Linked DNA regions of Arabidopsis thaliana. The protein of the gene in region 3 purifies or fractionates together with the protein of the main gene of each other region. This does not show direct contact. Each region holds a gene or a part of one and is shown on either strand. Other genes may lie near its edges.

Region 1 (4,835 bases), on a different chromosome or scaffold from region 3:
GAGCAGTTGAGAAATTAAAATCAAAGCCTTAACAGATTAACTCCAACATCATTTAGACACACTTTCCTTGGATACCACCTTTTTACGGAAACTTCGAATCTTACATGTAAACAAATCTCAAAACCATAATTTCACATTTTTACTACTAACTAACTCCAAAGATCTAAACCCATGAATTAAGTATCTAATCGGGTAATTATTACAGTGGTTTTCAGAAATCAATGTGTGTTCATATTTAGAAGGTTGAAAGTTCATAGTTAAATGTGGGGAACCTTATGTTCCTATTATTTATTTATATTAAATTTCAAAGTCGATTAAATCAATTTTTAAATTCAAAATCTATGCAATAGAATCACCTACTAGTCCTTTTTTGTTTAACTAGACAGAGAGAAATAGAAATAGAGAGAGAGAGACATGAAGAGCACTCTCAATAGAGAAGAGAAGGAAGCATGAAGCTAGCTCTGCAGCTTCAAGGTCTCATTAATGGAGGTCTCTAACTCTTGTTCTTCATTTTCTTCATCCTCTGTCGACAGTACTAAACCTTCTCCTTCTGAATCTTCTGTTAATCTCTCCCTTAGTCTCACATTTCCTTCTACTTCTCCACAAAGGTCTTATTCACATCACTTCTCTGTTTTTTCCTATGTTCTGTTTTTGCTCTGTTTTCTTTTGTTCACATTTGTGTTTTAAATCTTTATTTTTTTGTAGAGAAGCAAGACAAGATTGGCCACCGATAAAGTCTAGATTAAGAGATACACTAAAGGGTCGTCGTCTTCTTCGTCGTGGTGATGACACTTCTCTCTTTGTTAAGGTTTATATGGAAGGTGTTCCCATTGGAAGAAAACTCGACCTTTGCGTATTCTCAGGCTACGAGAGTCTATTAGAAAATCTCTCTCACATGTTCGATACTTCAATCATCTGTAAGTAATTAATGAACAACACATAATTCCGTAAAAACAACATTCAACTAAATTCAAACAGTTTGAAGTATATCCATGCATTGTCTTGGCTATAACAGGCGGTAATCGAGATCGAAAACATCATGTTTTGACATATGAAGACAAGGATGGAGATTGGATGATGGTCGGAGATATTCCATGGGAGTATGAATCTTATATCTTGATCTTACATTGGTATAATTTCCTCGGTTATAGCTATTCTCTAATTTTTGAAATCGATGTTTTTGTTTAGTATGTTTCTTGAAACCGTGAGAAGACTAAAGATCACGAGACCGGAGAGGTATTAAAACTTGGATCGGTCAAGGCTGTGATTGCGCAGTTACGAGACGTGTAAGATTTAGGCATTGATGAAGAGACTTGAGGCGGGACGGAGCTATTGCTGCATATTGCAACAAAGGCCTTGAAGAAGTTGGAGAATTGATTGATGCATATATTTATTTATATGACACCTTTGAGTGTGTTTTTTCTTATAAATAAATCACAATATCCAAGACTTCTCTTTTTTGTTCTGAATAATAATAATGCAAAGATTTTTTATATGTTTGTAATCGTGTGTTTCTTCGAATGTGTTACATGACTAGGAAAAAAGTACACGAACGTTGTTATGGGGAGCACGAACATGGAATAGAGGAACGTTGTCAGGAAGAGAATGATTCTCTTTGATCTGCCGGCAGCCGTCTCGTTGGTTGTCACCAATGTACAATTTTAATGTTGAGCCCATTTAAAGCCCACTAAATGACTAACAAGCTCGTTTAAAGCCCAAATGCTGCAATTGATCGTAGGATCGGATCCAGATAATTCGTCCCAAAATGGGAAAATTCCAAATTAGAGGTGAAATGTGTAAAGACATTAGAATATAAGGGTGATTCTGAAATAAATTAAGCTAGCGCCGGAAAAAGATCGAGAAATTGAAATTTCCCACACTCTCTCGCTGACTCTCTTCGAAACTCAATTTGTGAAATTTGGGGGTTTAAGGATGAAGGGTTTAGTGTCTACTGGTTGGAAAGGTCCCGTCAAGTTCAGGATGTAAGTTTCGTCGCTTCCTCTACTTTGTTTGTTTTGAAATCGAAATCGAGTTCATGTGTTTTTGTTTTTTCTGATGAATCGATTTGTAATCGGAGCTATAGGCCCACTGCTGAAAACTTGGTACCTATTCGATTGGACATTCAATTCGAAGGTCAGCGTTACAAAGATGCTTTCACTTGGAACCCTTCAGGTTTCTCTCTTAAAAACCCTACCTTTTTTTTTGTTTTCCATCTTCTCGCATCTTATTACAGTAGCAGTGTATGTGATTCACTGATTCTTGTTTTTGGTTTTGGATACAGACCCGGATAATGAAGTCGTTATCTTTGCCAAAAGAACTGTTAAAGACTTGAAACTTCCCTATGCATTTGTCACTCAGATTGCCCAATCTATTCAGGTTGTTTCTAAACTAGTTCACACTGACCTATCTTTAGTTTTTCTTCTGCTCTGATTTTGTTGTTAGTTCTTTTGCTTGTCATAGAGATGAGCTTAAATTTAAGGTCACCTATTAGTCTTAAACCAATCACACTTTCGACTTATTGTTTTTAACTCTTTAGGTTTTTTTACTCGAGAAGAGGCCTGTTTATAGCATTGTACTTTGGGATGTATATCTGTAAGACTGTGCTTTTGTGATGAATGTACTCTTGCTTCAGTTATGTTCTGTTCTGTTTTTGTAAGTATTGGAATAATTTCTTCAGAAATCTCTACTTACATTGGTCAACTTCCTGCTTTATCAGTCTCAGCTCTCAGACTTTCGGGCTTATGAAGGACAAGACATGTACACTGGTGAAAAAATCATACCAATTAAGGTTTTATGACGCTAGATATCCTTATCCCTCTCTCTTTTGTCCATGAGTGATTTGTTGGAAAAAAAGAAGTTCTAGAAGCTGATAAGCTATCTTTCTTTCTTTTTTGTGCCAGCTTGATCTCCGAGTTAACCATACTCTCATCAAGGATCAGTTCTTATGGGTGAGAATACTTGGTGATTTTGAACAATTTCAACTATTGTTTGTACTCTTTTTCTCAGTGCAGCTTGATTGCCGTTTTGCAGGACCTAAACAATTTTGAGAGTGATCCTGAGGAATTTGCAAGAACCTTGTGCAAGGATTTAGGTGTTGAAGACCCTGAAGTTGGAGTAAGATAACCACTCAATTTTTTACATTTCATTATCTGAACTAATGAACCTAAGTTTCAAACGTTTGATACAAGTGATTTTTGGTTTCTCCTTCTCTCTGAAGCCTGCTGTTGCCTTTGCAATAAGGGAACAACTTTACGAGGTTAAAACTTTGATTGTAACTTTAAGCTACTCTCTCTGTATTTCTGTATACTCTATATATGTTTTCTATTTTGAACAAGAATGCCAAACTTACTGAGTTACCATGTCGTTGTTTTTGCTTGCCAGATTGCAATTCAAAGTGTGGCTTCAGCTAGGGAGAGTAGATTAAGCAAGAAAGGCCGCAGAGGATCTGATCATGGTTCAGCGAGGTATGTTCACGTTGCCCCTATTTGTCTATCCAAGTTACCTTGTGGTAATATTAGAGCCTAGCTCAAAAAATTCTAAAATAACTTTCCATCTTATATGTGCAGCAAGGCAAGTGGCCTGTCAATGGACTTAATGAAGTTATTCAGTTTTAAGTCCAGTGTAGTTCGGTAAGTGATTTTCTTACCCACTTAATGCATACATTTTCTCTGTTGCATTGTCTTCTTAAGATCTGTTGGACGACTGACTTCTAGCAGCTAGATCGTTTATAAGATAAGTTAACTTTGCGACACATCCTGAGCGTTTTTCTTACACATACTCTTGAATGCCACCTCTTCATGCATTATATCATTTGATAGTAGATTATCCCAATATTTGGAGCTGGTCCCTACTGAGATTGTTCTAATAGTAATTTCTGGTGATGTTACATGTTGTTATTGAACATAGAAAACCGAATCACTAGGTTGGAAATTGTTTGATTACAAAATAAACTCTGTGGAAATTGAAGAAGTTCTCTTCCTGCATTGCTTATCACTAAATGGGAGTTTTTCAAAAAATAAGATTTATGGACACGAACAAATTTGACTTGCAAGACCAAGCAAAAGCTATAACAGAATCCAAAAATAACAAATTTTGTCCATGATCTTGACAGGAAAAGGAAAGACTTGGATGTTTATGAACCAGTTGTGGATCTGCTAACAAGTGAGGAAGTTGATGCGCTTGAAGCCAGGGAAGAGAGACATGCAAGGTGAAGAGTTTCGTTTACATGTATAAATATTTCTTAGGGCAACACTCAAAATATGTTGTATCATGCTTAACTTGAGTTAATGATATTAAGACAATCTTTTATGAGACACATAATCCTTAAGATGCATCCGGTGTGTATGAGTGCCCTGGCCTAAGTATGAGATTTCGGTTTAGTAAACCTGGTTAGGTGAAACACCAGTGGGTGTGGAATGAAGAATCTTTAGATGATATAACCTCAATGGGACATGTTAGGTTTGCAGAGTTGAGTGAAACCATTTCTTCACTCTTTGATTAAGATGTTTCCCAAACTTTGAGCATGTTAAAGAATGTTAGAGAGAGAGTTAGAGGATTAAAAAAAATATAGTAATGAAAGAAAGAAAGAAAAATGAAGGAGATTCAAAGGACAAGACACGTTGTGAGAATCAAGTGACCCACTTGAGACTTTAATAAGATCTCATCATCAACCATTAACCTCACTGTCGATATACGGTCGTACTTTTTCTTCTATTCTCTTCTCTTTGCCCTTTTTTTTTTCTCTTTTTCTTGATTCAATGATTGGGTCCCTCTCTAAGCTCAAGCTGCTGTCATCTAAATTAATTAATATGCGAAAATAAAAATTATTGGGTTTA
Region 2 (4,576 bases), on a different chromosome or scaffold from region 3:
TTTGTGCAACCTTGAGATCTGCTCCTCTTGATTAATATCTTTGAACTCCTCCTGGAACTCCTCCAAACTTCCAAACTGCAAGTATTGTGCAATCAAATAACATGTTAGCTACATAAAATTCTGTTAAGTATGCGAACTTATTTATCTTTGCTATTCTTGTGATACCTTCCCCGCATCAAGAAAATGCATGAGCATGAAAAGTTCATCCAAGTTGTTCTGTAAAGGCACCACATAATCATCAGTAACATATTGCAACTAATCAGGTAAGACATTAGTGCAAGATAATATATAACAATTCTCATTGCAAATCGTAGCTACTATGCTCAGATACAACTATTGAAAGTATAAACTTCAGAAATCAAACTCAAATGACGAACCTGAAGTGGTGTTCCTGTCAGAAGAATACGGTGGTTACTTGAATACTGTGTCAATGAAGAGAACAGCTTTGAATCCTTATTTTTCAGTCGATGACCTTCATCAACAATCTGCCCAAAACAATTGTTACTAGGCAACATGTAAGAGAGAAAGAGAGACGACTAAGAGAAAGTAAAGTCTCATTAGAGAATAAGAGTTACCATGCACTCCCACTTAATTGGTTTTAGAACTGCTGAATCTAGGTTGATCATCTCATACGATGTGAGGAGGACATCAAACTTGATTCTTTTTTGCTTGCTTTCGCTACTTATTTGTCCAGATTTCTTTTTCTTGATCTTTTTTTGATCTTTCGATAAGTAAAACTCATGTTCTCTGATAACTGCTCGAGCTTGCGCAGTGCCAAAATACATAACCTACCCGTCAAATGACCACGAAGACCATTCCATTAACAAACAACAAAAACATACAAATGGCACAGATCATTGCGTGTATAACTGCATACATACCACGTTCATCTGTGGGGCCCATGTGGCAAACTCTCTCTCCCAGTTACGCAGAGTCGATAGAGGAGCAATTACCAAATGCGGAATGAGGTTCTCCTCAAAAAGTGAAGCTAAAAGGGCAATGCTTTGAATTGTCTTGCCTGTAACAGGAAAAATCTCACAACATTACAGGAATAGAAAACAAAGGCCCCTTACAATGGATGAAAAGATCTATGTGACCACCCAAGTGGGACAATTGAAAAATTACCTAGTCCCATTTCATCAGCAAGGATTACATGCGTCTGTTTTGACCACGAGAACCGCAAAAAATTAAGTCCCTCAAGCTGGTATGGATGTAACAAGCCTTCAATCGCAGGAAACAAATAAATCATAACATCTATAAGTACCAAATATAAGAAACATTTATAGTATATGATTTAAGGTGATCCAAATACCTTTGAGGAATTCAGGAGTATGATCAAACTGTTGAAAGTCTCTGGGATTTCTTTTATGGTCAACATCTTTACTTCTGCGAGTTCTAGAATTTACATCCTTGAACCTTTGAATTTCATTCTGGAAGGTTGAGATGTCTGATTCTGACTCCCAATAACATTCATCATAGGATAGCTCTTTATATTTGACAAGATATTCCAGCTCCCCATCTTCCTCTCTATATCATAAAAGAAACCAATGCAACTGTCACAATTCCTGATTTACGAAACAACTAAGAAAATGGTAACTTAAAAAGAAGAAAAAAAAGGTAAGCAGGTCATTTATCATGTTTCAGAGACCCAAAATCGTGATAACAGTAAATTTAGGTTAAGCAGCACTCTATCAAAGATACGTGTTTATTAGAGAATGGATTATGCTGAAAACAAGGATATTAAAAAAAAAGTTGGCAGATAGATAAATAAAGGAATTAATTCCATTCTCTAGACCTGCAGGCAAGAATCCGATCAACAGTGGTCCACTCAGGACGTATGGCAACAAAATCATCTTCGCTGTTATTGAATGACTCCATTTGACGGTGAAAATTGTTCACTCTGGTTTTTAAACGATGATTTGACTTATAAGCCTTCTGGAACTCCTTCTCAGGCACCCTATGATTAGTAAAAGGAAATAAATCACATATTATAGTGTTCACAGAAAGAAACATTGATAATTAGCGTGTCCAGACAGCAAAAAAGACACGCAGTAACTACCAAGAGCAGTGAAGGTATGATAATCCCTTCCACTTCACGAGATACTGTTTCACAAAAATTGGCTTCGGTTCCGCATCGGAGGAACCTTGTTCACTAGATTTTGTAGGACGCATTTCACAATCCAATATCTTATCTATCTCGTTAAGAGGACTAACCTGCAAATGTAAACAACAATTCTTCCATGTAAGAAAAATGGAACCTGTAGCATCCCAAAACATAATTGTGGACCGTAACTAAAATCTTACACATTCAGGGCATCTCCAATTTTCCACGGAAGCATCTTTAAGAGGTGGAACTAAGCATTTAGCATGGAACGCATAAGTGCATGTATTGCAGCTTACAAGATTAGTACTTTCCCCACAAGCCTGACATGCATTTTCTTTCTACAAATTCAGAGTAACAACACAAAAAAAAGGATTAAAATAGAACACATAAAACAGTAAAAGCTGAACAATAAGCTCGAGAGGAGAAACAAACCGCATCAGTTCTGACAATAGCCTCGACTTGCTCAAAGGTTCGATCTTTTTTAGGAACGAAGTCGTCATCATCAGAATCATCTAGGTTATAAACTGGTTTCCTATCAGATCGTATGCGAAGCCTCTCCACCAAACTACTCATTTTCTGCACACAAAACATATCTCCCATCAATAACAACAAACTTACATAAACAACACATATAACAATAGACTCAGTGCTAGTTCTGAGACTTAAGCAAACTATGAAATTAGAGTTTCACACAATTGAACTCTACTACCTAAACAAACATCACAGTGAAATTTTTTGTTCCCAATCTAAAACCTTTACAACTATATCAAGAGATAGTTCGTACAATAGCTACTAAACAACTCGATTCATCAAACTCTATACCACATGAGCAAGATCGACTAACCTTGTGAAAGAGAACGAGAGAGAAATTGGAAAAAACCCTAGCCAAAATTACCCATAAGAATAAACAATTGAGCATCGAAATGTGAGTACCCAGAAGTCGAATTAACAATCTCTTACCGCAATATCATGAAAAGATCAAAACTTTACAAAACCCAAACAGTTTCAAACTCAGTTTGTAACGAAAATTTGAAAGAAAGGAAGAGAAAAATAGTAACTTGAGAAGTAATTTGAGAAGTCGAAAGCGATATTACTAGTCGAAGATAGAGTAAAAAGTGAAGCAGAGAAGAGTGTGGAAGAGAAGGAGAAGACGAACCTTTGAAATGGTTGGGATCTGTTTTTGCAGAAGAAGAAAGTAATCCGAAACGAACGAAACTTGAAAATTCAGACAACACAAATGATTTCTAACATTTAGCTTACCAATTTTAACTTATGGTTATTATTAACTTTAATACACTTCTTAAGGTATAAAATATCACCTCTAATTAAATTACCTTCTCAATATCATTATTTTTTCACACACAAAAAACTTACTTTTTTGTTTGAAAAAATTATAATTACTTCTAACTTATAAAAATAAGTGTCAAAAATAATGACAATTACTTTTCACTTACCCAATATTGTTATTATATAAACTTAGATATTTTTAAATATTTAAGTTTATTTACCTTTTCCCCTCAAAGAGGCTAGAGGAAGATTTAACATGCTTTGCTTGGTTTCGCTATTTATCATGGAGCTGAAATCTCTTGACGTGGGTTCACTCCTTGTTGGTGCTAATTATGGAGAAGATTTTGAGACAAGGTTTAAAACAATATTGAAGGAAGTATATGCTTCGAATGGGCAAACAATCTTGTTCATTGATGAGATTCACATTGTTATTGGTGCAGGTGCTCTTTCTTTTTTTGATTCAGATTATACATTAATAGATGACCTTTTTATTTATACACAATACTTGTATGCATTTTTTTACTCTGACCAAGTAAAACGTTTTGTATAAATGGTTTTGATGGGTGGTAACTCTATAAAAATGATTTTTCATCTCATTAGAAGAATACTGCATCGAACAATTATTGAGGATTAACACTGGAGATGAACAATTATGTCTACTAAGTATTTCTTGTATAATCTTGTGTCTCTATACTAATGAGTTATTACTCTTGTGTAGGAGCTACTTGTGGAGGCGTGGAGCAATAGAAGCGAGCAACTTCTTGAAACCGTTGCTTAGACCAGGTGAGCTGAGATGCATTGGTGCAACTATGTTTGTTATATCCACCTTAACTTATTTAGCTTAAACTTAACCAACCAAACCCACTAACACTTGTGGGGCTATAATTCACTTACGGCCCAATGGCCTTATTACAAAACACAAATCCAACTCCGTTCTTATGTTGGATTTGTGTCGTTGACTCTTCTTCCTCCTTTGGTCAGTGGTCACGACAACTTCTTATTCTCTTCTTCCTCCTTTGGTCACGACATCTTCTTCTTCTCTTCTTCCAAGCTTGGCTTCTTCTCTTTTCTTCATCTTCTTCTTCTCATGAAGCTTTCTTCTTCTTGTAGGATTTAATCTAGGATTCAATCTCCAACGACATTGACCAAAAATATATAGAGAGATATCCAACGCTAAAACGTAGG
Region 3 (6,834 bases):
CCAAAATTTAGATACTGATTTCATCGCTGATGGACTAGATTTAGAAGAAGGGGAAATCGTCGAATGATGGTCATAGTCTTGTTCTGGCAAAAAGGAATTACTCTCTGTGAAACATTTTTGAGGATTATGTTCATGCCTGAAGCTCTCTTGTTCGAGCACATTAGCTATACTTGGTAATAGCCAAAGCTTTTACTGGAATGCAATAAGCCACAGCACTGATGGTCATAAGTTTTCGGTCTGGGCTTTGATCAACAGGTATTTCTTTTGTAGTAAACCAGATTACTAGGCTGTTCTGTGGTTTGTAGCAAACTTGATTGTTTACATACAAGATAGTTAACTTAAGAATGTCTCCGAAACTTTTGTTCAGTCTTATCCTCCTATAGATCCTCATAAATTAATCTTGTTGTCTTTCAGATCTTCTTTATAGTCAATGTAATACAGACCAAACCTTGTAGTTTGCCCAAAAGTTTTCTAGCAACGGACCAGAAGGATCAACAATAGATATAATCTATGAACGGATATTATATGTAAAGAGTAAATAAGCAAGAGAGCATACATGTAAACAACAATATCAAAAATTGCAATCTAGATCATACAGATTTGAAGAGAAATTATTTCATGGATTACATTTGAGAGTAAACAAATAAGTCCACTACGGAATCATTAAAATTCTCTTAATATATACATTGCAACCGGTTCAATTCAACTCAACCCACTCTGCAGGCTCCTAAGGACTTTGAAATCCCTCAAGCTTAAAAAGAAGAACTAAAGAGTTGACCTGAGAACAATGGCACGGATCTAAATGAGTTTATGTATGCCAACCAGACGGCGCTTTAATCTCTCCAAGCCTCCTTCTCTGCTTGAAAATCATCAAACATCTATTTCATTAGCATTAATGTATTGAGTATCATTATTCTTTTGATTTCACATATTTATTGCATTCACGACTGGAACCATGAGTTTTATATCGATGAGGTAAATATCAGGAAGTTGGGGAATAGAATAGCTCACCTCTTATTGGTTAGAGGAATACTGACATCTCTGTAGAAGGGATAAAGGGAAGAATCCTATCACCATAGAGTTCGTGCAGTTTCACCAATAGCCGTCCGGAATCAAGATCATCTTTCCATATCTGATCAAGGATTGCTTTCATGGTAATAGCCCGACTCCTGCCGCTTTCTTTCACCTTTCCATTTCTGCTTTCAGATTCGTTAGCATCAGAGGCTTGTTCTGATGAGGATGGCTGAACAGAGTTTTGTGGCGGATTGTCATTTTCCACTGGATTATCTACTTGCATTGGAGCTGAGCCAGATTGATCTTGTGAATGTACACCATCTGGCCCATCCATGGTTATCAATCTTTTCTGCGGTGATTGGTTTTCTGAAGAATCTACACTCAGCTTCCGCTTGTGGGGATCAGTACTGATTATCTTTCCCTTTCCCTTTCCCTTATGGAGAAAACTTGGTGACGGAGATGGTAAAGGTGGGAAGATTTTAAGCCGGCCATGTATACACAAGCCTGCAGCACGCTGAAAAGAAAAAGGGGGCAAGTCCATCTAAGGATTGTCCACTGAGAATTCTACAAAGATGAAATTTTACAAGGATGTGTTTACTAACCAGCAAGGCTCCATATACACGCCAAGCTTCGTAGATCTTCATCTGATTTTTTTGCTTCTCAGCATTCAATTCAGGTTCGAGAAGACTTAGATATGGTTCGAGATTTGATAGAATAAGAAGGCGTACCTACACAATATATGACATTCAGATGACAACAGATAACAATGCAGGATAGCTGTGCTAAAGTTTTTGGTAGCAGGGGTATCTGATTCACTGGAGTAGCCGTTTAAGACGATAAAAGTCCTAATTTCCCAATAAAATGAATAAGCAAACCCGGAAAAATGGTATGGGCAAATCAAATTGTATCTCAGATTCTGAAAAGTCCCTAGATTGAAGGACAAGCTGGGTAACATTATTTCTCGGTGATATCTGAAATAGCATGCACAAACTTTCTGAAAGGTCAAGGAATGACTTACAACAGTGTGCCCCAAAGCTGCTAATCCTTGAATCGCACCATAGTGCTGAGTCAAAGCCTTCTTTGGGTCCAGCAGTGCATTGACTAAAGTTCTGGTAAGACGAGACTGAAGAGTTATATAAACGGTTCCATACCTGCAAGATTTTATTAAAATCACAGGATTTCAGATGCTAAAAGAATATAAAGGTGAGATATGTAAAATAAAAGTGCGAGACAATGTACCCTTTTAAATAATGAAGAAGACTATAGCAAGTTATTACTAATTGTTGTTAATATAGATCTAACCATTTGTTTTTCAGCTCGAGCAAAAAAGAAGTAGATATCAATAGTAAAGAGATCAAACAAGATAAACTTAGCAGAACATCTATGGATAATCATCTCATGATATTTCCTTATAGAATTTCATTATTAGCTCCAGTAAGAAATCATGTATAGATCCCCACAATCAACCAAAACAAACACAGAGTTCATGACATGAAAGGGAAATAATGAACCTTTTACATATCAGTGAAACCAGATTTGCCGCAAAATCTCTGAGTTCCCAGTGGTTGTCAGCAAATCTATTTCCAAGCTTTCTTGATACAAGGCATGTTACAACAGATGGCATCAACTGGTGCAGCTGGCACCAAAAGAAAAAGTTCACTCAGCTTCATGGTTATGAAACATTGCTCAAACAACCAACTCATTATCCCAAGGCTGGTTTACATAATCTCAATACAGATCAAAGGCAAAACTTGTTGTTATTTCAAGCAGACTGAGAGTACTTAAGCACTCGAGCTTGCAGACCTCGGACAAACACTACCACTAACCATTTGATACCCATTATATAGAATATGTCTAATATAGAACTTGAAGAAACCCAAATCAGAAGCCTAAAGAAAATGGAGCTACATGATTCTACAATTTTTTAGATAGTGGCAAAAGATAATCCAGAGAAAACTTACATAAGGTTCTATGTGTATGTGAGGATTCTGTAGAAGACTTCTAACAATGTGCATTAGATTAAACAGGAGTCGGAAGTCATTTAAGCCATTTGAAACCTGCACAAGTGGAGAAAATTAAAACTGCAAAAACTTAACGTGGGTCTTATTGGTTCACACTAGTTCCTCGGTGGTGCATAATGTTACCTCATCAGCAATGAAATTTGTAAAATATGGAACTAGAGGATGAAGTCCTGAGTCTGAGGCCAAGCTCACTAATGCTTCTTTATACAGAGGAGGATTTGACTTGCTCATTGCAAGTTCAGCAATCTTTTGGAAGTATAACTGTGAAGAGAGAACAACAGATAAGTCCTATGTATGTAAGGATATTACCCTATGATATTTAGACTGCACCATATACCTGAAGTTCCCTAGATAGTACATGCTTCACTGGTAGCCTAACGTCAATAAGAGGTCCGTCTTTTTGTTCATGGATTTTGGTTTCTGCAGGTGCTCTAATGACTAGAGACAACACAAACAAGTGAAAAATATAGTCAAGATAGGAAAGAACAAGGATTTCTTGCTCATGCGGATCCGCAAAACAATAATACAGATGGATCTGAAAATATGTATTTTGATCTTTCAGTAACATCAGTAAGCTCACCACTTAACACGGGGTAACTGTAGAAAGAGGTTTATACACCTCTGAAACGTCATTGTACATACTAATATTTGTTTCATGTTGAAAAATTCATATAATGACTTTACAACTCTAGCCCAGGGCATAAGATTGAGAGACAAACCTTCTAAAGGAGCATTTTCTGGTATAGCTGGTTGCACTCCTTCAATAGCCAGCCAGTGACAAACAATTTCAGTATCAAGGGGAGCTTTTGGCAGCGGGGCTTCGATCACCTAGAATCATGACATTTCTTGAAAACATAAGGAACCCAAAATGAAGAATTTAACTGAAACAAAAAAAACATGCCAGCTTTTCCAACATCTTACATCTTTGAAATCCACTTCTCTGTCATCAGTGTAGAACAAATCGCGATGTCCAATAGCTTTTCTAAAACGAAATGGCCCTCCTGAGGCAAATCCATATATCGGCTGCAATAGATATAATCACTCTCAAAAAGATGCCTTTGATTCAGTTGACTACAATAGTGAAATATGTGAAAGCAATGTGTAACAGATGGTGTTATTCATATGCACCAGTAAAGCCAAACCTCAAAACTAGAAACCATATATCTTTGTCACTCAACTACAAAAACCAGGAAGCTTACACAACCAAAACTCTAGATAATGGGAAGTAAGAAATAGGTCATCGAGTTTGTACCTCAACGTTCCTTAAGTTGAGAGCACCATCTACATCCGAAGCTGTTAAAGTCGTTCTCTTTGAGTGACGCATGCATTTGATAGCTTCCTGAAAGGACATCCAAAGAGAAGGTACAGAAAGATCAATATGCTGATACCAGAAAACTCACCTCAAGAACACAAAGACATGATTAGAAAAAGAAGGTAACCTGCATGATCTCTCGGACACGATACTCAACATCAGGAGCAAGCATAAGAGCAGCTTCAGGTAACAAGTTGGTAATCCCAATACTTTGAGCTATTACCTCAACCGTTTCCTTAGGTACAATGCTCATCTTCCCCAGGCTGCTTATCCACTGTGGCGATACAAGGACACAGAAGAAACATCAACAGTGGTTATATTAAGTAAGAAAAAAGCACAAAAAATCATTGGAACCTCCCAATTAAACCATTGTTGGGCATACACAATGAATCGCAATTCAACAGCCCAGAAGACAAAGGCTGCTTCCATACTCCGTAAAAGTGTGAAATTTGTCCCGTTAACCAAAATTCGAGCACAAAAATAAGTTGGAAATTTACATGAACCGGAGAGGGATTTGCGTTGAGCGACGAAGATCCAGACACTTCACTTGAGAGGAAAGAAGCTCCGATTAACCGATGCCAAGCCTCTTGTTAATATAAGAAGCCGGGCCGGGTTTTTTAATTGCTGTCAAATTCACCCGGTTGGACTATTTCGGGTTAAATTAAATTTGGGCTGTCTCTATATCTATTTTGGGCCAAGGCCCAATAAGAGCGAAATATTTTATTTCTCTGCCAACTAAAGACAATTAATCCTACGAGAAAGGACGAAACAAATGTTTCAAGACAGTAGTTCTGTCTTCTGTGGTAGTTCTTTCTATTTTCTACACAAACAAAATTGATCCAAACACAAAAGGAAAAAGGAGCACAAAAGTCCAAATCAATGAAGACATCAACATACGTGAAAGCCTTAATCACACTCTTTCTTTACAAACATCAAGACCAAATATAATTAGGGGCAAACCAAATTGTTGGTGGATGCAATAACATATGTAGATTTTTCTTCTTTTTACATGAAAAAATAATTGCCAGTCCCAGTATCAGAATTTGGGACGAATACAAGCAATTTCTTTGTATATCAACCAAAATAATATTAGGATAGTCCTGAAACATCCCGTACCCAAGATATTCCACCTGGAAACGCTCTATGAACTCTGCTTCTTCCCGCTGCAGTGACTTTTGTTTTTTCCCCCATCACCATAATTTCTTTCGCCATAACCGGCTTGTGTATTACATTTGCATCCTCTTTGCCTTCCGTCAGAAACCGCAGACCCTGGAGTTTCCATAGTTTTATAGTTTTAGAAAGCCAAAGAAACATCATGACATGAAATCATCAAATAACAGCTACTACCACAAGTATTTTCAGGTTCCAATTTTTATTCGAATAAGCTTGATGAGAGATTGCCTTGAATATATGCAAATTCAAGATCAACCATCTCGTTGAATTTTTTCACTATAAGCAACTTTTTTGCGTCAACAGAATGGAAATGCACATTTATATGATGGAAAAAGGTATAGTAGCATTCTTACAGAGAGAGAAGTATTAGTGGATGGTTTTCCATCAATAGGTAATCTCTCACCAACATCCTAAACCACAAAGCCAGAAACAAGATTTTTTTCATTAAGGCCTATAACTACGTGAAAAATAAGTAAGAAAACGTTTCACTTAATTTGTAAGTTAACACTCACCTGAAATACTTTAGTACTTGTGCTGTCTTTAACGCCTGCAACTTGACATAGATGCCATAGTCCAGAGAGGGTCACATCCTAAAATTTTAACAAAAAAAATATCTGTTTGAGATCAATTAGTTTTAAGAAAATTGATAGCGTGAAGTGGTTTGTAGTATCTAATGGTTGTAGACAAATTACTTGTTTGCTTTCAAGACTTTCAATCTTCCCTTCCTGTAAAAATTTCATATAAGAGAGTAAAGATATATTAGCCCCTTTAAAATATGCATATTAGAGGGCAATGATGCATATTAGAGGGCAATGATGAGACTTACTATTCCAGAAATCATTTCATTAAGTTGCTTAAAATCAAACCCAATTTGCGAAATGCTTGATCTCATCTCAGTAACCTGAATTGAAGCAAGATTCCATGTGAGCATTAGCATTAAAATGAATATCAAAGAAAGGCATAGATGGAGTAAATCGCAGATATGAGAATCAAGCTGTAATTTGAAAGAAACAAAGGACTCTACTGTACATGTGAAGAAAAACAGTTCAGGGCCAAAGAGATAGGACGTTAATAAATAAATACTCTACAATCTTTTGGAATTCCTAAATGTGTTTTAAATTCTTCTAAGATGTTAAATGTACAAGAGGAGATCTCTCTCAGACGAATGTATAAGTATCCTAATCTTAAGTCTAAGGAAAAAATAAGGCATCAATACAAGAAAGTGAGAAATAAAACGGGTTCCTTACATCACTTAAGATCATTTTAGATGTCTCATTCTGCTCTTCCACCTTCCAATCCAAGGTCGCTAGCTTC

The links. Proteins that work in one complex are often made in the same cells at the same time.
Region 1: the proteins of TAFII59 (region 3) and BSH fractionate together in Arabidopsis thaliana (co-fractionation; one large-scale study listed by BioGRID). This does not show direct contact.
Region 2: the proteins of TAFII59 (region 3) and PKL fractionate together in Arabidopsis thaliana (co-fractionation; one large-scale study listed by BioGRID). This does not show direct contact.

The regions. Positions count from the first base shown.
Region 1 is NC_003074.8:6,016,689-6,021,523, reverse strand, and holds BSH (transcription regulatory protein SNF5, putative (BSH)), read left to right. Parts: upstream 1-1,857; 5' UTR 1,858-1,932; coding exon 1,933-1,982; intron 1,983-2,077; coding exon 2,078-2,172; intron 2,173-2,281; coding exon 2,282-2,376; intron 2,377-2,716; coding exon 2,717-2,788; intron 2,789-2,900; coding exon 2,901-2,948; intron 2,949-3,030; coding exon 3,031-3,114; intron 3,115-3,217; coding exon 3,218-3,256; intron 3,257-3,381; coding exon 3,382-3,464; intron 3,465-3,566; coding exon 3,567-3,629; intron 3,630-4,111; coding exon 4,112-4,211; 3' UTR 4,212-4,312; downstream 4,313-4,835. Other genes in the region: IAA31 (indole-3-acetic acid inducible 31), read left to right, coding at 484-608, 706-917, 1,016-1,100, 1,189-1,243. UniProt on the Arabidopsis thaliana protein: Component of a multiprotein complex equivalent of the yeast SWI/SNF complex, an ATP-dependent chromatin-remodeling complex, which is required for the positive and negative regulation of gene expression of a large number of genes.
Region 2 is NC_003071.7:10,712,512-10,717,087, reverse strand, and holds the start of PKL (chromatin remodeling factor CHD3 (PICKLE)), read right to left. Parts: upstream 3,024-4,576; coding exon 2,949-3,023; intron 2,681-2,948; coding exon 2,537-2,680; intron 2,443-2,536; coding exon 2,305-2,442; intron 2,215-2,304; coding exon 2,060-2,214; intron 1,958-2,059; coding exon 1,796-1,957; intron 1,528-1,795; coding exon 1,313-1,527; intron 1,222-1,312; coding exon 1,126-1,221; intron 1,019-1,125; coding exon 882-1,018; intron 789-881; coding exon 576-788; intron 486-575; coding exon 378-485; intron 217-377; coding exon 166-216; intron 76-165; coding exon 1-75. Other genes in the region: AT2G25169 (uncharacterized protein), read left to right, coding at 3,074-3,157, 3,630-3,745, 4,110-4,174, 4,373-4,482. UniProt on the Arabidopsis thaliana protein: Chromatin remodeling factor that represses the expression of embryonic trait genes (such as NFYB9/LEC1) upon and after seed germination and thus enables the developmental switch to post-germinative growth. Silences some MADS-box proteins such as PHE1 and PHE2.
Region 3 is NC_003070.9:1,402,585-1,409,418, forward strand, and holds TAFII59 (TATA BOX ASSOCIATED FACTOR II 59), read right to left. Parts: upstream 4,948-6,834; 5' UTR 4,845-4,947; exon of another isoform or gene 4,622-4,844; 5' UTR 4,601-4,621; coding exon 4,475-4,600; intron 4,375-4,474; coding exon 4,288-4,374; intron 4,059-4,287; coding exon 3,957-4,058; intron 3,864-3,956; coding exon 3,755-3,863; intron 3,474-3,754; coding exon 3,373-3,473; intron 3,297-3,372; coding exon 3,159-3,296; intron 3,072-3,158; coding exon 2,976-3,071; intron 2,651-2,975; coding exon 2,526-2,650; intron 2,166-2,525; coding exon 2,033-2,165; intron 1,743-2,032; coding exon 1,617-1,742; intron 1,529-1,616; coding exon 1,022-1,528; 3' UTR 1,012-1,021; intron 857-1,011; 3' UTR 501-856; downstream 1-500. Other genes in the region: AT1G04945 (HIT-type Zinc finger family protein), read left to right, coding at 1-67; AT1G04960 (golgin family A protein (DUF1664)), read right to left, coding at 5,437-5,616, 5,874-5,930, 6,033-6,110, 6,213-6,245, 6,347-6,421, 6,768-6,834. UniProt on the Arabidopsis thaliana protein: TAFs are components of the transcription factor IID (TFIID) complex that is essential for mediating regulation of RNA polymerase transcription. Required for proper pollen function. May stabilize the interaction of TFIID with selected promoters.